Caenorhabditis elegans: one gene and its partners. The protein of the gene in region 1 interacts with the protein of each later gene in a pairwise test. Each region holds a gene or a part of one and is shown in the gene's direction. Other genes may lie near its edges. The genes, in order: nud-2, hcp-1, unc-83 and hcp-2.

Region 1 (3,730 bases):
ACACAGAGCTCTCGCTCTTCGATTGGCACTTTACGAGTGAAGTCAAATACTGATTTGATAGGCTTCTCAATGTGGAGGAATCTTTTGCGACGATCGCTTTCTTTTTTTGTTCACCTGTTCGTACTATTCAATTCTTCAGCAGAGTGATGTTAACCTTGATCGTGTCATGTCGACCTGAATAGGAAATAGATGAATCGTATAGTTTGTGTGTATGTGAAGCACTTTTCTCGTTCATTTACATTTTCGAATATCAAATTTAGGTGTGGTACTGCGGCGCGGGAAAAAACGCGAAAAACAGATTATACCACCCCCAACTCTCCTCGTGACGTGGCCCAGTGATTCGTGAATCCTATATTAACCGCTGAAATTGGTCATTTATTATCTCAACCGGTTTCGTGTTTCTGTTCACTAATTCGTACGATTTTCTGTGTTCACCACACCTAATCCAATTAGAACTCAACAACTCGATGAGTCATGCGTAGGCGTTTTGGAATTTCATTTTTTAAATGTTTGTTAATACATTTCATTCTCTCCAAATTCTCACTTACATCATTAGTCTCAATCGTTACAACTAAATTGACCCGCTTAACTTGAAAATCTTTCAAATAATATGCTCAATATATTCTGCATTCCTTATTCTATTTGTTATCAGTTATTATACGCGACCATTGCCGCTCCCCATTCCTCCGACTGCTGCCTATCGTGAGTTTGACCTGAATTTCGTGTGGGAAATTGGACTGTTATATGAATTTAATTTCTATTTCCGAAGTTTAATTATCGATTACTAAAATTGATTGCCATTTCTGGAATACTCTTTGAAGAAATTTACCAATTTTTCTTTTAACACAGATTTTCTTGAATGACTATTCTATTCTATTTACAAAAAGTGTTAATTTTTTCGGAATTAGTTTCTTATAGCAGATTTCTTTGAACTTCATCAGTGTATTAAACCCAAAAAACAGTAAAATTTTCCTTCAAAGTATTTTGAAATCTTCAAAGGTTATCTGATCTTAAAATTATTGCCTATTGGTGTTACTCGCACAGCTGTTCGACTTTTTGTAGCGGAAGTGCGGACGAGCTATGGGAGCAAGGACAAACACAGAGCACACGGCGGCCGGAGCAGCCGGAGCACCCCCACTTTTTTGTTTGCTCGAATGCCTTGTGTCAAAAACTTTGGAGGATTTTCCATCTTTCCTCAGAGAGATGACTTTAGCTGTCTATCAGATGATGGCGACCTTAGATATCCCGATTTATAAGAATACTGAGACTTTTCTTCAACATCGTTAAACCTCAAAAAACATCCATTTGCGGTAGCAACTAATACGTAGTTGCTTCTGTTTTCCTCCGTTCGACCAGTTCTCTTTTTCTCTCTTTCCCAAATGTCCATTCTATTCTCTCACTTTTTGTCCACACGTGGCCGAACGTTGTAAGGGTTTAGTGTGTTCACAGGCGGCATTATACGTTTTTTCCTACGATTCATAATTTTTGTTGAATATCCTGAACAATTTTCTAAACCTTTAATATTTTCAGATCATCAGAAATCAATGGATTTGTCTGAGGATCAAATTCGCGGACTACCGCACCATGAGCTTCTTGGTCATTTCTTGCAAATGCGCGAAGAGTTTAACGAGTTCCAGACAAGTTCCGCGGAAATTGAGAAAATGATGGATTCAGAATTGGATGATTTGAAAACACAACTGAAAAAAGCAGAAACCAGAGTACAGCAGATGACCACAGAGCAAATTAGGAACAAGGTTGGTACTATTTTTTACATTAAAATTGAAAAAAAAAACTTTATAAAATTTTTCAACTATAATTTGAATTTTGTGAATTTTAAAGGATCGACAGGACGATTCCCGTGTACAATTTGCACAAGTCGAAGAGCAATTAAGACGAGAAAACTCACATCTTCATGAACAATGTGAAAGTCAGAGAGAAAGAATTCGAAAACTGGAACAGAGAAACGATGTGCTCGAAACATCAGAAAGAAATAAGGAATATCTAGCATCTGATCTCGGATCGAAACTGGATCATGCTATTGAAAAGATAGCAATGTTGGAAAGTGAGCTTTATGAACGGCAAGTTGCTGCTGAAGAAATGCATAGATTACGAGAAGAACAACTTCGAACAACAGAACGGCCACGTTTGATTGTAGAACCATTGAGGAATGATCCAGAAATTCTGCCGGACGAGCCATCCCCAGGTCCAAGTAAAGAAGAGTTTAAAATGAGTAAGTATTTGTCGCATTTTGAGAATGAAAATAACTAGTACTATTTAAGGCTCGGAAGATGTTTTCATGGAAGACGTGCAGCACCACGAAGATGTTCGAATGGAGGAAACTATTGCAAAAATTGACGAAGTGCGCATCGATGACAATAAAAATATTCAAGAAAAAGTACGTAAATTTTCTTTTTTTGGTGGATTTTTGAAAGTAAATATCCAAATATTAATTCAAAGAAGACCTGCAAATTTCGATCAATTAATAGCTTCACACCTTATTTCGGAATGAAAAACATTTAGTCGAAAAACTCTTGCAGCGAGTTCTAATTCTTTTTTCCCTCACAACTATAAACGATAGCATCTCTAGATGCAGAATAGACCGAAAAAACAATATTTGCTAACCCATTTATAGTTCTCAGCCAACATTTACATAGCTTTCAGAGCCAACGAGTATCTACCGGTACGGGCGCCGGTGCTTGCATCAATCGAATCGTCAAAGACCTGATGACAAAAGTCGAGCGGCTCGATTCAATTTTATCGACGATTCGCGTGAGCAACAACTCGTCTAACAACAATTCCAGTCATCTTACAACGACACGGGCTTAACATTTCATTTTTTGGTTTTTCTCACCTTTCTCGCATACTGTGACTTTTCATTCACTCAGGGATCCTCCATTTCATCATTTCCTTCGTTTCTTTCCGTTATTATTCTTTTCCATGACATCCTGTATCATGCTTATGTTTTATTCCCACCCAATTGGTATTAGACCCCGATTTTATTTGCCCCGCCTTACTGTTGCTCAATATAAGTTCCACGTTCGCCATTCACCCACATTATTTTCCAAATTTCTAAAGTGCCTACATATTTCTAATTTTTCTGTTAAAAATTTATATATCCGTCACCATGAATAGTTAGTAAAGGAATGATTTCAAGAAAAAGTGAGCAAAATAAATAAATAAATACAATTTGAATTAATCTTTCTAGCAATTTTTGGAGACAGAGAACGCCAGCATTCGTCCTATCACCGAGTTGTCACAACAGCACTCAATCGATTTTTCTGAAACTGTCAGAATACAAACATCCTTTCGTGAACGTGTCTGGCAAGTGAAAATGGTCAAATCCGAAGAAAATGCGTTAACAAATAGAGCAATTGACGAAGGATTAATGGGATTTTCGAGTTGTATCACATGCCGATTGAGACCTCCAAGACGACTTCTTTCTTTTGAAATATCTTCTGGAGACAGACGAATTGGTTGAACTTGCTCACCATATGGGACCTAGAATTTAGGAAAAAATTTAGTTTATCTTTAAAAGATGCGGATTGTGGAATCTAGTCAGGAATTATACAAGTTTTGATATAAAATATTAACCATCAAGGGAGTATTTACGTTTTTCAATTTTTTTTGTGGAAAAAATAATTTTAAAAGCCTCTGAAACTATTTAAAAGATTACCTCAAATCTGAAATGCTTCTCATGACCATCATCTCTTGTAAGTATCCATTCTCTACT
Region 2 (7,065 bases), on another chromosome or scaffold:
AAATTTTTCCGCCGCCACTGTGTTTCCGCAAAGATTCTCCCATTATTTGATGCGATCCTATTCTTAGACGCTGATATTGGTGTTGTGAATCCAAAGCGAAAAATTGAAGAGTTTTTGGATGATGGAATTGATGTTACATTCTATGATAGATTCTATAATTGGGAGATCATGGCTGGATCTTATATTGCAAGAAATACTCAATATGCTATTGATTTATTAAACGGTTAGTTTTTTATTCGAAATTTTTGTGATGAATTTAATAAAATTGCAGAGTTTGCTGATTATGAGTACAAGTTACCAAATAGTTTTCATGGAACGGATAATGGAGCACTTCATGTAACTTGGTAACTTCCTATTTCAATTTTTATTTTATTGTTTAGATTTTCCTTGCCGAAAAGTTGTTCCCACAGGCTTCTGCAAATACGAAAGTATGCAAAAAAGCTTATAACAATTCTAAAAATTTTGATGATCTCTTCACCTACGAGTCATGTATCCGAGCAATATTTGGCGTATCCACTGATTTTGGAAAAGTTAGAATTATGAAAAAAGTAGGTTTAAAATTAATACCACAACATCTACAATATTAACTGTACAGGGAACAGGATGGGCTAAAGACGGCTGGCTGACATCAATGATGTGGCATCCAGAGTTAGATTTCATGTTCCATGGTTGGAAAACGAATCAATTGAGAGAAACGCCGAATGTGAAGCTTGAGTTGGCAAATTACCTGAATTTTTTAAAAATTATTCAAGTATTACAGGCCTAGCCAAATGGGACGAGATTTTTGGTATAATCCTTTGAGTGGGCCTATAGATCTTCAAAAATGTAGTCCTCAAAATTCGACATGGTCATACGATTCACGACTTCGTGGAGATAAAAACGAAATTCTGAAAAGCCTGAGAATGTTCGAAGAAAATGTTGCATTTCAGCAAGTTTTGTCTTATATCCGGATGATGGGTTTATTGTTTCAGTAACCAGCAATTTTAAACTTTAAATTCAGATTTTGTGTATGTATATTTACTTGAATTGTAAGACAAGATATATTTTTGGAATAAAAATTTGTGAAAACTACATAAAACGCAAACGATGGTTTTTAATTTTTTTGTTCCAATCAACCCCATTTTTACAAGGCCACAAACTGCAAAATAAATAAAATATACCGATTTTCACTTGTAGACCTATTATATTTTGACCTTATGGTCGGTAAGAGCAACCGTGCTCCACCGCACATGGCGGGAAGGTTTCAATTTTGAATCACCACGCGCGGGAATCCGGCACTTTTCATTTCGTTCATTCATTCATTATTCATGAACGTTCATTTTCAGTTATCTGACATTTGGAAAATACTGTTTTGTTACTTTATTTGTTGCCACATAACGTCAAAAAGTTTCACACGCAGTATTTAATAGATATATTTCTAAAAACTTATTTTCCCCTTAATTTCCTGTTTAGTACTTTTTTCCTCCTTTTTTCAAATCACGCGCCCTTTTTGATTTTTAATATCCCTTGTGTAATTTCCATAATCATTATTGCTAATTTATAGATAAATCGACGTTTCTTTCACAATGGACGAATCGCCGATATTCGACAACGAGAACAAGCGCTCAGCTGGAAATGTAAGTTGAATTTTCTCAAAATTTTAATTAAATCAATGACAATATAAATTATTTCAGAAGCGCCAGCAAACCGAGTCGCCATTTTCCGCCGCTACGCCTAAATCACGACTAGGAAGAGAACCGAAACGCATTTTTGGAACTTCGTCGGGCAATATGGCCGATAGCAACCTGGAGGAGACCTGCCTCGAGCATGATTCCCGCCCGTCTTCTGCTTCTTCTATCACCCCTGCCGACAACACAAGTCTACTGGATTTGTCTACAGTAACAGCTTTGGCTACTGATGATGCATCCTTCGTGGGAACCAACGATGCTTCCATCACTCCGGGCAGCAATGTTGATGTGAATTTAGAACAATCTGAGCTCTACGACACCTCAAATTGCACGAGCAACCTGAGCATGGTTCAAGAAAGCGACGAGACGGACGCCGATGCCACACTGTCCAATGATTTCGATAATCAATTGGCACTTGACGGAGAGACTACGCCTACTGCTTCTCGTACTCCAATGAGCCAGATTCTGAGCCGAGAATGTACTCCAACAGTATCTAATCCACAGCTTCTCACGGAAATCGCCAAAGGAGTAGATCAGCCTACAAAGCCAGTCCGAGATGTCCCCCAGTCCCCAGTGCTTCCTGTCAAAGGTCACATTGACTTCTCACTGTAAGAAATTGTCGTATTTATAGCTTAAAACAAAATAATTTCAGACACGAGTTTGAAATGTTGGAGCAGAATTCCGAGCATGAGGAGTCAATCAAACTTCTTCAGTCGCAGATCGAGCTTCTCCGTCAAAGTCACAGTCAACAGCTCAGTGAGATTCAAGAAGCTCGAATTTTTGAGGAAAAGATGCTGACTCAGCAAGTAGATTCTGCAATGAAAAAGGCAAAATCTGACCGCGAAGCCGCTAAGGCACGAGAACAAGTTCTCGAGAAACAAGTTCAGGAGTTACGCTTGAAGCTGGAAGAGCCTGACGAAGAGAAGAATCAGTTGGTACACAATCTTGCTGCTCTGAACGCTCAAATCGAGGAGTTGACCCAGAAGGCTTTGAAAGTAGATTCGATGCAACAAGGAGCGACTGCTTCGGAAGATCGGATTCGGGAGTTAATTGGAGGCCATCAAGAAGCAATCAAACAGCTTGAGAATACCAAACAAATGAACGAAAGTCTTCAGCGCGATCTAGTAGAGAAAGAAGCGAGATTCAGTGAAGAGGTTTTTATAGAATTTATTGCCGAAGTAAATTTAATTAATTATTTTTAAGATGGAAAGGATTCGCACCGAATCACAAACAACAAGTGAATCGCTGAAGTATGAGCACGAACTTGTTCGCAAGATGATGATTGAGGATATGGAGAAACTGGAGGCAGAAGTACTCGCCCTCAAATCCCAACAAGCAAACTTGGAGATCCAAGAATTTCACGACAAGATCAAACAACTTGAATTGGAGGTGCAACTGTCGTCTGAGAACAAAGAAAAACTTCAAGCAGAGTTAATGGTGGTACAAGAAAAAGCTTCCGAAAACATCAAGAATGCCGAGGAAAAAGTGAACGGCCTTGAAGCAGAGGTTGGCTTAATTGAATAATCACAAATCAATATATATATTTTTATTTTTCAGGTCGAAAAGCTGCGATTTGAAGCCACCAATAATTCTCGTGTTGTGGAGCTCGAGCAACAACTCGAAGAGTTCAGATCGCTCATGATTAAAGAGATTTCTGATTTGGAGAACCAGTTAGAAGCTGCAAAACTTGAGTCAGGATCCACGAGTGAGCCCAATGCACAGTTGGAGGCATCGCAAGCTACAATCCAGGAATTGACTTCTGAGATGAAGATGCAGTTGGAAGAAGTGAAGAGACAGTCTGATGAAAACAATTCGTTGAATGTACATCTGACATCTTCAAACGAAAAAATTGCGGAACTAACGTCTTCATTGGAGATGGTGGCTGCTCAACTCTTATCTTCACAACAAGAAACTGATGTTGCCGTCACTAAGGTGGAAAATCTGGAGTTGAAGATGGAAGAGGCTCATCGAATGTATTTATTGGATATTGAACTGTCAAGAGTAAAGATTGACGAACTTCAGTCTTCTATTGAGGTGCTTTCAAAGCTTGAACGTGAGGTTCAGTCATCCAATTTGCAAAACGAAGAGTTGAAACTTTCTCTGAGGAATTTTGAAGAACTTCAAGCCGATCTTGCCATGTCGAAAGCAAAGAATGAAGAACTCGAACAGCAAATTGAAGATTCTAGTCGGGAGTTTTCTGTCATCACTGAAGCAAGTAAGGAAATGAAGTTGAAATGGGATTCGTCTGAAGCTCAGATGTCTGAAATGATAGCTTCTTTGGCCGCCTTCCAAGAAGAAATGCAATCAACTCAAGCTGATGCTGTCGCTTCTGAAGATAAAGTCAAACAGGTGGAATCTTTGTTGGAGAATTTGAAGGAACCTTTGGAGGAATTAAACAATCTTCGTGCCAATTTGAAGGATTCCAACGATAAGATTTTGGATCTTCAATCTCAACTCGAATTGGCTCAGCAATCTTCGGATCTCGCTGATCGTCTTCAGGAGGACTTGAGAACTTCAGATGCCAGGGTCCAAGAATTGAATATTCAAGTGTCTGAACTCGAACAGCAAATTGAAGTTTCTAGTCGGGAGTTTTCTGTCATCACTGAAGCGAATAAGGAAATGCAGTTGAAGTTGGATTCGTCTGAAGCACAGATTTCTGAAATGACAGCTTCATTGACCGCCTTCCAAGAAGAAATGCAATCAACTCGGGCTGATGCTGTCGCTTCTGAAGATAAAGTCAAAGAGTTGGAATCTTTGTTGGAGAATTTGAAGGAACCTTTGGAGGAATTAAACAATCTTCGTGCCAATTTGAAGGATTCCAACGGTAAGGTTTTGGAGCTTCAATCTCAACTCGACTTGGCTCAGCAGTTTTCGGATCTCACTGATCGTCTTCAGGAAGACTTGAGAACTTCAGATGCCAGGGTTCAAGAGTTAAACGTGCAAGTCTCTGATCTTCAAAGCGAGCTTGAAACTGCTCGCCAGGACACCAATGCTGTTCAAGTCGTTATGGAAGCTCTTAAATCAGAACAAGGTGAATCGTATGAAGCTCTTCGTGCTGAACTTGACGCTGCTGTTCAAGAAAAAGGCAGATCTTCTGATCTCGTAACTTCGTTGGAAGGTAAAATTCAGGAGTTAGAAACTGCTATCGAGAGTAGTACAGCTGAAAACGTTCAAAAAAGCAAAACCATCCAAGACTTCACCGACAAAGTGTCACTACTTGAATCGCAAATCTGTGAGCTGAAAAGTCAAAATGAGCAGATGGAAATTGATACTAACTTGAATATGGATCAGTTATCCGAAATGTCTTCTCAGTTGGAATCTGCAAACGCCGAGCTCATTGAACTGACGAGGACTTCCGCTGAGACTATTGATAAGCTTCGTGGAGAAGTAGAAAAGTCTACAAAGGCAATGATGGATCAAGAAGAACATCTTGCGGAACTAGTGGCCAAGATTGAAAGCCGAGATGTTGAGGTTTGACGAAATTTCTCTTTTATATTTATAAAATTGTATTTTTTCAGAACGCGGATCAAGCTGCAAAGCACAAGGAAGAACAAGAACGCCTCCAATCCGTAATTGATACTCTTCGGACATCACAGAGTACAATCGAAGAATCTCAAGCCAAGTCAGAGGAGTTGAATTCACGCATTAAAGAGCTTCAAGCATCAATTGAGTTTGCACAAAAGGCCCTAGCTGACACCGAAAACGCAAAGCAGGAGAAAGTCGAAGAACTCGAAAAAGTTCAGGAGCAGATGCTAAACCTCGTGCAAGCTTTCGAAGTGGAGGTTAGTTTAACGGACATTTTTTTAATTCCAAATTTATTGATAAATTTTACAGAAAGCATCGATCCGATTGGAGTGGAACTCGTCTTTGAGCAATGCAAACGAAAAACTCGAGGCTGCAGAGGAAGCACTCTCTCAGAAAGAGAACACGATTGTTACTCTGGAGTCGCGGATCGAAACAATCTCACAGCAGTTTGAGGCTCGCCTGGAAGAAGCAAATGTCTGGAAGTCGCAGGCAATGCAACTCGGCACTCTCACTCAATCGCTTTCGCAAATGCAACGACAGCTTGGAGAAATGCATGAGAAGATGGAAGCATCTGACCGTCGTGTCATTGAAGTCGAAGAACAAGCTCAACACGACATCACTTTGATTCAAGTTGAAAATAAAGAACAGTCGGAAGCACTGGAACAAGCACATTCTCGTATTCTGGAACTTGAGGAAAAGTTGGTGAGGGCTGAAATCGAAATCCAGCGATTGGAGAAAGTTTGTGATGCATTTGATGATGACGAGCGGGAGTATAAGGACAAGATCATGACACTTCAGTCCGAGATCAAGCAGCTGAAGGGTGTAAAGACGCCGCCACGAGTAATGGGACTGATCGAGCAAGCAAGACTTGGGTGAGTTGAACATGTATTAAAATTGACAAGTTGAGCGTTTTATTTTCAGTGTGAAACAACTGAGCCGCGAAAGCTCACTTGTCGAACCGCAAAACTCTGCTCATGAGGATGCCTTCGAAGATGCGCAGAACTCCTTCCAAGATCGTCTTCAAACCATGTCGAATACTACTGCCCGGCAGATAGATGCTTCAAATCATCATCCGGAGGATCACGTTTTGGAGAAGTCGGCTCGCGAAACTCCATCGAAGAAGAATCGATCAAACTGCCAACACCAATAGGCTATAAGATTCTCTCACCCCACTAGATCTCTCACCGTCCCCCACTAACATATGTGCCATGAATACCCGTTCTGAACCCATATTTACTTGTCAAATATTATTTGCTTTTAGGGTCAGAATAAACGGGTTTTTAAATTTATCAACGATTTTTAGTCTCATTAAAATACAATCAAAGAAGATCCTGAATAAAGGTGACGTCATTTATAGTGAAAAAGTGATATATTACAGCTCAGAAATTTCACAGGATTATTATCATTGCAAATTTTCGCGAAGTTCGATGTTCTCTCCTTTCGCATGTTCAACAATCCATTTAATCAATAGATCCTTCGAACTGATAGCGTCTAATTTGATAGTCCACTCCAAGTTGTTATCTTTGTTCAGAATAATTCCAACATTTGGTTCAGCGTTTTCTGAATTAATTTGATCAGTTTGATCAGAGGTAATGCCAACTGGAGATGTCAGTTTCACACGTATCTTCTCATCTGTGCTACGTGGTACATGATGCTTGATTGTTAACAGTACAGGCGGTCCACTTCTTGTATTCTTTACACTAATCGTCTGCTCGGTGGCATGAGTTGAATGTTTTGTGATGTAACCGCCTTCTTCATGGAACTTTTTGGCTGGCTTATATTCGATACGAATGGCCGTGTCCACGCCTAGAGAACAGGTGAATCGTTCACCTGGTGACACATCTTTCATGTGACTCTGAAACATGAATTGCAA
Region 3 (4,858 bases), on another chromosome or scaffold:
TAACTGATCAGCTCAGGCATAATTTTCTTTTGAAAACTTTTTAATGGCTTTACGCATTTTGAGAAGGAGCTGAAGTTTTCTAACTGTTTTTGAAAGTGTTACCCCTCTATGAGTCACTGGGGGCAAACGAGAAGCGCAGTTTGGGCGACATTTTGTTGCATTATCAAATAAAAACGGTTGTCTCTTCTTTTTTATTATCAACCAATGCAGAGCCAACATTCTACCAAATTGATAGTAATGCAAGTACTTGCCGTAGATTCCCTCAAACATTTGAGACAAAGGGCCTAAATAGTTTTAATTGTGAAACAAATTAGACACGACGTTCGAAGTTTATTCTGCAGTTTTGGTAATGCGTTGTAATTTTGATGTTAGTCTAGAAACAAATGTTTTCTTTTTGAAATTTTGCAATGTTCTTCAGAATATTTCAAGTATGAAATTTCTAAATTGTACTTCAAATCATTTCTAAAACTCGTAAAACATTCGGGCACTACAAAGTGTTCCTTTTCTACTTTAGTATCACAATGTTTCGCACATTGGTGATAAATGAGCCGGGGCTGTCTGCCGTTTCCGACTCCATTAACTTGGGTCCATTATCCCATCGTTTCACTGTGTTTCTATCACATTTATTGGGGGAACTTCCTGTTGCAACAAAACCAATAAATTCGAAAAGTGTCAGGGCCATGTGCTGTTGGACATCTATTCGTGAACATTTTCAAAATTTCGATTTGTTCCTTTCCAGTTTTCCATAGATTCAATTTTAATTGAAAAATGAATGGGTGGAAACTTGAATTTAAAAAAAAGGAATTTAATTCAATTTTCAACAAGTTCAAAAATATTTTTTCCAACGTTTTGTTAATTGATATTTTCCAGAACTTTCTAAATCAAGTTACATTTTTTTTGAAAGCTACAACCTATTTTGTAGTAATTTGGAAATTTCTTGGACCTCGTTGTGATAATTTCCATAAATTTTGCTTAATATTTTTTATTGGAAATCACGAGACTTTTTCACACAAAATAAAATCTTCCAGCTGATTTCCCTGGTCCAATCTCTTTTTTATCACTTTCACACCTATCTCTTCATATTTTCATATCTTCATAAATCTTCATAAAAATTCATAAAACAATATCTCCATCATAATTATCATCTTTTATTATTTTATCAGGTGTCGAAAAGAAACGAAAACTGTGTGAATGACATGATAATCCATCATCATCACAAGCTTCTCTTCCCAACTCTCTAGATTCTCCTCTCTCATCAGTATTATTGTTTATTAAGGCGGAGACTTCGGATTGGGGGGCAGATTTCGAGCATCTCACACTTTTCTATGTTTATCTTTTAATTTGCGAACATTTTTGCGGGCGATGGCTTGTTGTCCAGGGCATGAAATCCATGGATTTTTATTTGGATTTTCAAAAACTGGCCTAACAAATTTTATGGAAACCGTACTATACATAAGTAAAACATTTATGAAGTTTTTCGTGTGTTTCTACATTTTTATTAAAAACATTTTTTATTATCTTTAAAAGGATGTTTTACTGCTCGACACAATTTTCATAGATTTTTGGTAAACTAGGCTAGTTTTGAATTGAGTATATATTTTGCAAATTTTCTATCCTCAATATGACTTGAATTTCCGTTTCTTGACTTTGATCTCAACAGAAATCTCTTCTTGAAATTTATTTTCAGCTCCAATGAAACAACTAATCTCTTTTTCTTTGTTTTTCACGAAATTTTTCCTATTTTGTTCTACACACAAAAAATTGTATATACTTTTTCTATTTTTAAATTTTCACCTCATTTCGTTTTGATTAAGTATTTTTCCGTCTAAACTAAATTTTTCCAGATCCGTTTCTCATCCGTGATCATATTGCGCAGATGCGTAATTGATCGTCCACCCCTACCAGTACAGTATCCCACGTCTGGATACAAACTTCTCTGATTTTTTTATTTTTATTCCTGGACACCGAAAGTAACCCGAAAACAGGTTACGAATGGACGTAATGGACTCATTCTCGGAGGTCGAGATGCCCAATGATATATCATCGGAGGACCATCTTTTGAAGGTGAGGCAGAGCTTTAAATTTTACGAAAAAAAAATACTTTAAAATTTTCAACGCATTTTCTTGCATATTGAATTCATTTGAAAAGTAAAATTTCGTTAAAAGTAGGAGAAAAAAAATTAAAAGTTCGATTTCTTTATTCAAACCAAAGTAGAATGTAGTTTTTTTCTAAACCAAAACGAGCGAAAATAATTTTATTTTTCAAATCTATTTGATTATTGAAAGTGCCTTTTTGAAAAATGCTTGAGCATTTACCCTTGCGCCATCAATTGTTTGCAAAAAGCTGTCAAAAAGCCCGAGAGGCCGAGTTTTCAATTTTGGCGCAAAAAATCCCGAATTCCACGCTATCTTTTTTTTTCTTTCGATTGACTAAAGACGAACGGCTGAAGTTTTTTTTCGCTGTGCTTCAAAGATTTATAACTGGAGGTGGAAAGAGTTAGTGTCGCACATTCAAATTCCGCATCGTTTAGTTTTTCTTATCGAATGTTTTGATCTGGTGGGGGACGACGAAGTAAATTGAATTGAAAACTGTGGTTATCTTGAAAAGAAGTTTGAAGGAGAAAGTGTAAAACTATTGATGACGGGAGTTTAAATTTCAAGAGATTTTAAGACATTCCCATATTTCAGTGTGCGAAAATTTATCATTAAAAAATATTAATTATTTCTATGTGCTAAGTACATTTATTAGCAAAAAAGCGCAGAATCAAGTTCAGACAACATAATTATATTGATCTTCAGAGATTTTGCACATAATTTTGAGAGCCATTTTTCAGGAAAAACATAAAAGTTATCAAAATTGGTCCGCTAAATGATGTGTAAAACCTTTAAAATGCGATACTTTTTAATATTTAAAAGATTCGCATGAGAAATAATTGACTGACACCTTAGGTTCCTTGTAAAATATTTCATTGTATTATTAGTAAGTATAGGTATTTCCCAGATTTCCTTGTTAAGGTACCGCAAAGTCAACACATTCATGGACACCTTTTTTTGTTGACTTACCCCATATTTCTCTTTTTGTTTCCAAAAACAATATGCGGACCATTGAATCCTCACGCCATTCACACACATTCCCAGAGCGCGACTACTAGTAACTTTGTTTGGCAAAAGCTGTTAGTAAGAAGAGAATGATTCCGAGTGCCCAATACCATAAGTGTTTCTCGAGGTGCGCATCTCGGCAGTGAAGAGCAACTTGCAAGTTCGAGTGCATTTCTCCAAACTTGGTTGTTCCTACACAACGATTCCTGTGCCATGTTCCTTGATCCTCTCAATTTTGGCAATTGAATCGATTAACGTCAGGTTTACTCTTCGTTTTATTGCAAAGTGGGCCGCCCGGAAGGTCGAGAAATCGTAAATTGACTCGGAATTACCAATTTTACAGTCACACTGAAAGCAAAGCACTTCTTTTTGGTAGAGCGGGTGGCCATTGATTGTCGTTAAATCGTTTGTGAGGGTCATTTAGAAAAATGGGCGCATATTTTAATTTTTCAGAATAATTTTGACAATTTTAAATAATGAAAATAACAAATTACATTTTTTTGAAAATCTTGTTTCACCTTTTTTGGTTTTTTATTTGTATCAAATTATAAACTGTTTTATTAAATTGCACTACGCAGCTGTACAAGATCGAATTGCGCGTGTACAACCATCGTTAAAAATATCTCCTAGATATCTTTCCAGCTGTTACTTTGCCCATTTTAATGATCAATAATTTAATTTCCAGGTCATCGAATCGTCGGCTGAGGAAGTGGATATCTTTTTGGAGAACTGCTCCTCGCTCTACAATTTAATCCTCGACTCGTTGCACAACCTCACCTCAAAAGTAAGTCTTATTTGTTTTATTGCTTGTGTCGTTTGGTTGCCATGGATCAAGTGAAACTGGGAGAGTAATTAGGTGTAGCTGGCCTCAAAAGAACCTCCTGTTTTTCTCGATTTTCTTCTAGTTTTTCTTTGAACAAAGTTTTTTGCTTAGCCCTCTGATATCAAGATCAAGTTTTGCAAACTTGAGGCAGTTGTCCATTTGATTGAGCAAGAGATAGCAATAGTTTAAGGGGTCATCAATTATCAAAAAGAGAAACGTTACGAGCCTGTCAATTGAACACAAGCCTGGTACGAAAATATTACGGCAGATGTGGTGATGGATAACTGAAAACATTCACTTGACAAGCCTTTTGCCTGTGCTTTAGGGAATTTTTGAATCTTCCAAATACAGTTTTTACATAAAGTTTACCAGAATTAATTTCTGGTTGAAGTTTCAAGACTTGTTGATCTAGGAATGATAAATTAAAATAAACCCTTCCCATTCACAAAAACATAGCTAACTTATTCTTGCTCTAACTAGTAAGTTTTGTTCACTCCATGAACTACATCTAAATTTAAGCGGTTAATCATAGAGTAAACAACAAAAAAAAACCAATTTTTGAAGGTATAAAGTTGTACTTCTCAATATCCGATGATTAAAATTTTTAAAAAGAAAGTATCCTCAAATCGTTTGCTCTTTTTCAATGAGATAACAAATGACCACTGCAACTCATCTCTCTGTGCTTCTTATCCTCCCACACTCATTCAATATACTCACCCAATTTTTGTGGCAATTGCCGTTTGTTTGGAAGGTCACCCATTAATCAAATGTAGTTGGTTGATTGTGCAACCTCTACTACTAAACATTTTGATGAAGATCCTTCATTTTATCTGCCACTGACTCCTGAGAAAATGCCACACATTTCGATTCAATTAGCTTTCCTAAATTATTATACCAAATAGTATCGAATAACATCTCGCCCCCCGAACCACAGAA
Region 4 (6,893 bases), on another chromosome or scaffold:
ACGCAGTCACAATGACAAGAGAGTTTAAAGTAGCTCTCGATGACTCGCCATTCAATAATGTGATCCACAATTTGTCTATAGACGGGACGAATTTCTTGCAGAATTGCTGGCAATGAGGATTCTGTACACTGAGTAGAGATCTAAGAATTCGTGGCCAAAGCGGATTGTTGAGGGAATGATGAGCCTCAATCTCTGTGGCAAAACATTGAAAAATGTCTAGTTTCTGAATTCGAGCAAGTTTCAGCAGAGACGCCAATATGTCCAGGTAATCAGCAAGGCAATCAGTGTGTGTACTTTGAATAGAGTGTTTGATTCGCCGCTGTAACAATTCCGAGATTTAATTGTTTAATATTCTAATTAACTCACCATGCAAATCTCACTTGCTGTCATACATAGCCTCGCAGGAAACTCATGTATATCATGGTTTGTCGATAAATCTAACAACAACAAGGAAAAGTTTTCTAGTAGTCCAAACTTGTCATTTGCATCATCGATTAACTCTAAATAAATTATGAGCCATTGAACTGGTTTTTGTCGAAGTTCTTTATGCATAATCAAAACTTTGCCATGATCCTGTAGAAAGTGTTGTATCTCCTGAAATTGATAAATTATACATTCGAAGTATAAAAATGAAATTACATTCAATAGCTTTGGAAACGTCATGTGATTGGTCGACTTCTTCGCAGTTAATGAGTTAAATGTGGCAAACAGTTCATCAATGAACAGGGCCTGATCAAGAATAGAATTGTGCAGTTTTTTATATTTTAAGATTGTCAATCCAGCACGCAAGCAATTTTCGGTCATCGAGCAATCATTTTTCAGTTTGTCTTCCAACTGTGATCGGCAGTGAGGCCAAAACAGAACCAATTCATCGAAATGAACGCATTCTCCTGCGTTTTCTCCGAATAAAGTTGAAATGATATTCCACTTCAAATGATATCTAAAAAATCCTGAGGCACCTAATGAAATAGCTGAAGCAATTTCAGGAGTGATTAATTGTGGCAGAGAAGACGAAGGTTCGACGTCACAATATTTAACAACTTCCAGTAATCCTTGCAGGAAATAAATAGTTTCTCTCGGGTCTTGTTTCGTCACAGAGATCATCAGTACTGATAGAATTCGCTGAAATAAATAAAAAACATTGAATTATTGAATATAATTCTTGCTAACGTCAAAACATTTTGCCAATTCTTCATCCTCAAAGGCACACATCGACGCAATCACTGATTGAAATAATCTTATTTTTTCCTCTGGAACGAATATATTAATACAAATACTAAATTGTATTTTCTACCTGAAGAAAGTTCCTGCTTCTCTGTTATTAAATGTAATGTAAATGTTATACTCTGAAGGATCATTCTGAAAAAACATAAATATAATCATCATCTTCTACATTTTCCAACTCACATCTTTTCCATGAACTCATTTTCGTCTAACTGCTCGATTCGGGAAACGAAAGATTTCGATAACAATTTAGTTATGTCATCTAACAAGAATTTCATTTTTTGTCTGAAAATGTAAAATAAAAAAGTTAAGATAAGATTTAATAATTATACCTGTTGAATTCTTTCTGCGTCACATATTTTTTCGCCGTACATAGCAGAGCTGAAACATCCTTATCGATATTCATTCCCAAATATCTGAAAGCCTGCGCACGTTATTTCAGTGGTTCGATGGATATTTAACAATATTTAAAATATATTGCTAACGTTTTTGTGATAATATTATGAAGAATTCACTAATACTTACTAAAAATAAGGAAACGAACAAAGTTTAAAAATAAATTCCTTCCGCAAAAAAAATTAAGCAAAATATAGAGTTCGATTGGATCGAATATATTCGAATTTGCATTGCAAATACAAACTCGCCCTATTGAAACGGCGCGAAATTTTAAACGATTGCTCCAGTTTTTGTATTGTTTTGTTGAAAATTATTATTTTCTCGTGAAGTTCCAGATTCACTTCGTTTTATTTCGTTAAACGTGGACTGTTTTTTTCAATAGTGCAATTCCCCAACTCATTATCGTAAATTCTCAGACGAATTTGATCAAATTCAATATGGAGGAAAGTACAAACGACGGCGATGAAAACAAGCCTGCAACTGGGAAGGTAAATTAAATATTTTTGTATTTATCAAAAGCAAAACAATTTCAGAAGCGACAACAGCTTGAATCTCCGTTTTCTGCTGCGACACCGAAATCGCGTCTCGGAAAGGAATCGAAAAGGTTTTTCGGGCGTTCTGCTATGAATTTGGCCGATGGAAATCTTGAAGAAACTCGCATTGAGCCAGACTCGCGCCATTCGTCTACCAGTACCTCCGACTCTATTCTTGATGATTCTTCAATCTCCAATTTTTCCACACTCGCCCCGCCAAATACCTCCGTTGATGATAACAGTGTCTGTGAACCGCCAAGAGCTTCCTCAGCTCATGATGTCGATCCTAATTTGGAACAAACGAAGGTTTACAGTGAAGACAGCATCAGCAAAGACTGTAGCATTGCTGACGAGAGTTTTGCGACTGATGGTGACGTCACACTGGCGAACGACTTCTTCCAACAAGCAACGATTCAAGATCTAGAGAATACTCCGTCAACACCACTTCGGAGCCAGACACAAGTTGGAGACGAAAGTACACCAACTGCTCCTTCCCCACTTCGTTCGAAAATTCCAATCGAGAGTGAGGTTGTGCAGTCAACTTCTGTAGAGTCAGTTCAGTCAACATCTCAGCATGAAAAATCGAGAATTGAATATTCTTTGTAAGATTAATTTAAATTTATTCCCATTGTTAAATTGTTTATTTCAGATATGAATTCGAAATGCTGGAGAAAAATATCGAGCATGATGAAGTCGTTAAAGATCTTCAATTGAAAATTGAACTTCTTGGAGAGAAACATAGACAAACTCTTGTTGAAATTAAAGAAGCTCGTGAAGTTGAAGAGAAAATGCTCATGCAACAAGTGGAGGAGGCTGTAAAAAAGACGAAATCTGAGCGCGAAGCTGCAAAAACTCTGGAACAACTTCTTGAGAAACGGATTGAAGAGCTCGAGATGAAATTAACGGAGCCGAACGGAGAGAAACTACAGTTTGAACATCAGTTGGAAGAGTTGAAGAGTCGTTGTGAAGAGCTTACTGACAAAGCACTGAAGGTTGATGTCATGCAACACAGCATTGAGGACTACGAAAAAAAGTTTGTGGAGTTGCAAGAAATGAAAGAGGAGGCTGATGAACAACTGCAAAAGGCTAAGGAAGACATTGAGACACTACAGATGAAGTATGTGGAATTGGAGACAACGATCAACAAAGAGGTAATGCAGTTAATATCTTGCCTGAAAATTAATTATATTTTTTCTTAGGTGTTCTCCAACTCTGAAATTGAAACTCTGAAGTCGGAACATGAAATTGTTCGTAAACTGATGTTGGATGAAATCCATCGTCTTGAGAATGAAATGTCTGCTCTTCAACCGAAGAATGATACTACTGAACTGGAAGAACTTCAGAAGACTCTCGATGATCTCAAAATTGACTGTTGCAATTTGACTTCAAAAATGCTTGAACTTCAGTCAGAGCTCGTAGAAGTGAAAGAGAAAGCCACGTCAGAAATTGGGGAAGCTGTTCAGAAAAACGGTGAACTCCTGGAACAGGTTCGTAGTTCGAGTTTAGAAATAATTGCACTATATTTCTTATTTCAGATCAATAGCCTTCGCGTCGAAAATGCAAAATTGGTGGACATGGAAGGTCAGCTAAACGATGCACATCGTAAAGCGGAAGATAAAGATGTTCGAATCAGTGAACTATTGACTACCATTGAGTCTCTTCGTCAAGATTCTGAGGCCAGCGATAAACTTCTAATGGATTCGGAGTCTACACAAAATGAGTATTCGCTTGCTCTTGAAAACACAGTCTCTGAGTTGGAAACAATGCGAAGAGAATATAAGGCTTCGGTGGATAAAGTTTGCAGTCTTCAACTGGAACTAGAAGAAATTCAACATGAAACATCAGTTGAATTGGAAGAGGCGGAAATAAGAATTAAAGAATTGGAGTTGGCACAAGAAGAAGCTGTAAAAACTGGAAGTTCACAGCTCAAGAAGCTAGAAATTGTTCAAGAAGATTGTCAGAAGCTTCGTGATCAATTGAAGGAGGAACAAATTCAGCAACTTGTATCTCTTCGCGAGACTTCTGAAGTCATGCACCAGGAATCGGCTCGACATCAAGAAGAAAAGTACCAGATTCAGAGCAAGTTGATGTCGACGGAAGCAGAAGTTATTGAGCTGAGATCCTCTATTGATTCTCTCCAAGCTGAAGTTCGAGTGCAGTCAGATTCCGCCGCAGACCAAAAACACATCCTTGAAGATTATTTGAGAAAAATTCGGCAAGCAGAGGAAACCAACGAAAAACTTCGCTCTGATTTGGCCTCCTCTGAAGAACAAATTCTAGATCTGAAGAATCAACAGGAATCATTGATTGATGATTTGAAGGAAAAATTGCACTCTGCAGAAAGTACGAATCAAGAATTGCAGGTCTCTCTGGAGATGCTCAAGATAGAAGTCAGTAATGCTCGTCAGAAAGTGATGGAGAGTGAGGTTTTAAAAGAATCTTTCGAAGCCCTTCAACTGGAGTTGTCGGCATCACAAGAAGTTTCTCGATCAGTGGTTGATGCTGCAGTTCAAGAAAAAGATGGTCTTCTGAGACTGGTGGATACGCTGAAGTTGAAAATTGAAGATACGGAAAAGTCTGCTCAAGATCTTCAACAAAGCTCTGTGGAAGAGATAAAACAACTTCAATTGGACCTTCAAAATTTCAAACAAAATGCTGAAGTTCTCGAATCTCTGAATGAAAAACTAAATTCTAGTCACAAGAGGGATATGGTGGCGTTGGCATCTCAACTAGAAGAGCTTCAACATAAACTCGTCGTCGGAGAATCCCAAGTGGAAAATGTTAAGGAAGAACTGATTGGAGCTAAGATAATGAACAAGGAAATGGTTGATGAACTGAATGCGAAGCTTGGGGATGCTCTTGAAGGGATGGAAGAACTGAAAAAGAGCCTAGAAGTATCCGAAGCTAAAGTTCAGAGAAGAGAAGAAGAGGTTTAAATTCCTTAAGATTTCAGTCGAATTAAACTTGTTTTTCAGCTAATCGCTCAAGTATCGAAACATCGTGATCAGCAGGAGCAGCTTCAATTGACTCTCGACGAGCTCAAATCGGCTCAACATTCCACGGAAACATCCCGTTCCCAGTCAAATGAACTTGCTGCTCGTATCGAAGAGCTTGAAGCTTCCATCTCCTTTGCACAGAAGGCTCTTCAAGATGTAGAAGACGTCAAACATCAACAAGACATTCAGATATCTGAGGCGAATGAGGCAATGGTAAAGCTGAAGCAAGACTTTGAGACAGAGGTATATTCTTTCGAATTTCGAACAGAACATAATTTATTTCTTTTCAGAGGACATCACTTCAAAACGAGTTCAACCAAACTGTTTCCGCAGACAAAGAGCAGCTTGGTCATGCTGAACAAATGATTGCTCAGAAAGAAAAAGAGATTATCACTCTCCAAGCTCGAATCGAAGCGATGTCTCAGCAGTTCGAGGAGCGCCTTGAAGCATCGAATGTTTGGAAGACCCAAGCCATGAATGTCGGTACACTGACTGAATCGTTGTCTCAGTTACAAGTACAACTTCAACAAATGAATGAGAAGCTGGTTGCATCGGACAAATACGCAGTTGAAGTGGAGCAGCAAGCTCAGCATGATATAACTGTGATCCAGGAAGAGAAGAACGAGCAATCAGCGGCTCTAGAAGAAGCACTATCCAAAATAGCGGAACTTGAGGAGCAACTGGGAAGAGCCCAGAAGGAGATTGTACGACTCGAGAAGGTGTGTGACGATTTCGACGACGTTGAACGAGAGCTGAAGGATGCCATCTCGAAGCTTCAATCTGAGATAAAGCAATTGAAAGGAATCAAGAAACCACCAAAAGTAATGGGACTCCTTCAACAGGCCAGACTTGGGTAAGTCTCCATGATTTTCGACAAAACTCAGATATGTAAATCTTTGATATTTCAGAGTGAAGCCGCTGAGTCGTGAACATTCTCATGCGGAGCCACCAGAGCCTGTTGTTGAGGACAAGTTCGAAGATGCTCAGGATTCGTTCCAAGAAGAGTTTTCCCATTCGCCAGATGCTATCACGTCATCTACGGTACTCCATCCAGATGATCATCTTCAAGAAACAACTGCAGTTGAAACGCCGTCGAAGAAGGCGAACCGCTCAAACTGCAACCAGCAATAATTTGAACTCGTATTTTATTTATTTTTACTTTTTGTGTGCCATTACGTATTTCCGCGCACTACTCAACTGTGAATGTCTTTCCGGGTCAGAATAAATGTCTTTATGTGAATTTAAATTTAGATGATTGTGCTTTTATATTACATAGTCTTCTTCTTTGATGCATTGAATTGATTAATTAAATCCGAAAAAATACAGATCATTGATTATATTGAGTTTGTTTGATTATCATTTAAAAAATTGACCGTGATATTATCGAAAAAATACGATCGCACAAATTTCTCATAATTTATTTTTGATCTACCTTGTTGACTAGGCTCCTCCCCTTCCTTCGACAAGACGGCCACAACAAAATAACAACGGCAACAAGATTGGAGTTATGAGTTGGACTAACGAAGGACACGCCGACGGACCACATCTACCAAGAATGCAGAGTTCTCCCTTTGAAAGAAGAATATAAGCTCTCGACGCAACAGATGTACTTGGCAGCGATCAAGTCAAACACGCACCCGTGCAGAGACCTGGAAGCAAAGCGCCAACTGGAACGAACCTCTAAACCGCCAAGGATCCCGCCGCTGAAGCTATCGGACTCTGAAAAGCTCAGACTCGACAACAT

What was found.
Region 2: the proteins of nud-2 (region 1) and hcp-1 interact in a two-hybrid assay, tested with the Caenorhabditis elegans proteins (3 studies listed by BioGRID).
Region 3: the proteins of nud-2 (region 1) and unc-83 interact in a two-hybrid assay, tested with the Caenorhabditis elegans proteins (one study listed by BioGRID).
Region 4: the proteins of nud-2 (region 1) and hcp-2 interact in a two-hybrid assay, tested with the Caenorhabditis elegans proteins (one study listed by BioGRID).

The regions. Positions count from the first base shown.
Region 1 is NC_003279.8:7,857,218-7,860,947, reverse strand, and holds nud-2 (Protein nud-2), read left to right. Parts: upstream 1-1,530; 5' UTR 1,531-1,544; coding exon 1,545-1,754; intron 1,755-1,839; coding exon 1,840-2,230; intron 2,231-2,279; coding exon 2,280-2,395; intron 2,396-2,661; coding exon 2,662-2,826; 3' UTR 2,827-3,192; downstream 3,193-3,730. Other genes in the region: apb-3 (AP-3 complex subunit beta), read right to left, coding at 3,202-3,498, 3,674-3,730. UniProt on the Caenorhabditis elegans protein: Part of a complex with lis-1, which is recruited to the nuclear envelope by unc-83, where, in turn, it recruits dynein to the nuclear surface and regulates nuclear migration in hypodermal precursor cells.
Region 2 is NC_003283.11:6,592,661-6,599,725, forward strand, and holds hcp-1 (HoloCentric chromosome binding Protein), read left to right. Parts: upstream 1-1,533; 5' UTR 1,534-1,565; coding exon 1,566-1,616; intron 1,617-1,673; coding exon 1,674-2,275; intron 2,276-2,319; coding exon 2,320-2,821; intron 2,822-2,870; coding exon 2,871-3,173; intron 3,174-3,224; coding exon 3,225-5,138; intron 5,139-5,185; coding exon 5,186-5,449; intron 5,450-5,501; coding exon 5,502-6,064; intron 6,065-6,113; coding exon 6,114-6,342; 3' UTR 6,343-6,548; downstream 6,549-7,065. Other genes in the region: ZK1055.2 (Nucleotide-diphospho-sugar transferase domain-containing protein), read left to right, coding at 1-223, 272-336, 381-548, 596-714, 761-974; ZK1055.6 (Protein F37C4.5), read right to left, coding at 6,595-7,047.
Region 3 is NC_003283.11:6,463,221-6,468,078, forward strand, and holds the start of unc-83 (Nuclear migration protein unc-83), read left to right. Parts: upstream 1-1,844; 5' UTR 1,845-1,992; coding exon 1,993-2,064; intron 2,065-2,213; exon of another isoform or gene 2,214-2,413; intron 2,414-3,166; exon of another isoform or gene 3,167-3,347; intron 3,348-3,784; coding exon 3,785-3,883; intron 3,884-4,744; exon of another isoform or gene 4,745-4,858. UniProt on the Caenorhabditis elegans protein: Cargo-specific adapter that is involved in nuclear migration during development and thereafter.
Region 4 is NC_003283.11:9,643,825-9,650,717, forward strand, and holds hcp-2 (HoloCentric chromosome binding Protein), read left to right. Parts: upstream 1-2,034; 5' UTR 2,035-2,057; coding exon 2,058-2,108; intron 2,109-2,153; coding exon 2,154-2,755; intron 2,756-2,802; coding exon 2,803-3,304; intron 3,305-3,352; coding exon 3,353-3,640; intron 3,641-3,688; coding exon 3,689-5,083; intron 5,084-5,128; coding exon 5,129-5,392; intron 5,393-5,439; coding exon 5,440-6,002; intron 6,003-6,057; coding exon 6,058-6,280; 3' UTR 6,281-6,387; downstream 6,388-6,893. Other genes in the region: atl-1 (Serine/threonine-protein kinase ATR), read right to left, coding at 1-319, 367-594, 640-1,122, 1,171-1,250, 1,295-1,359, 1,408-1,509, 1,557-1,630.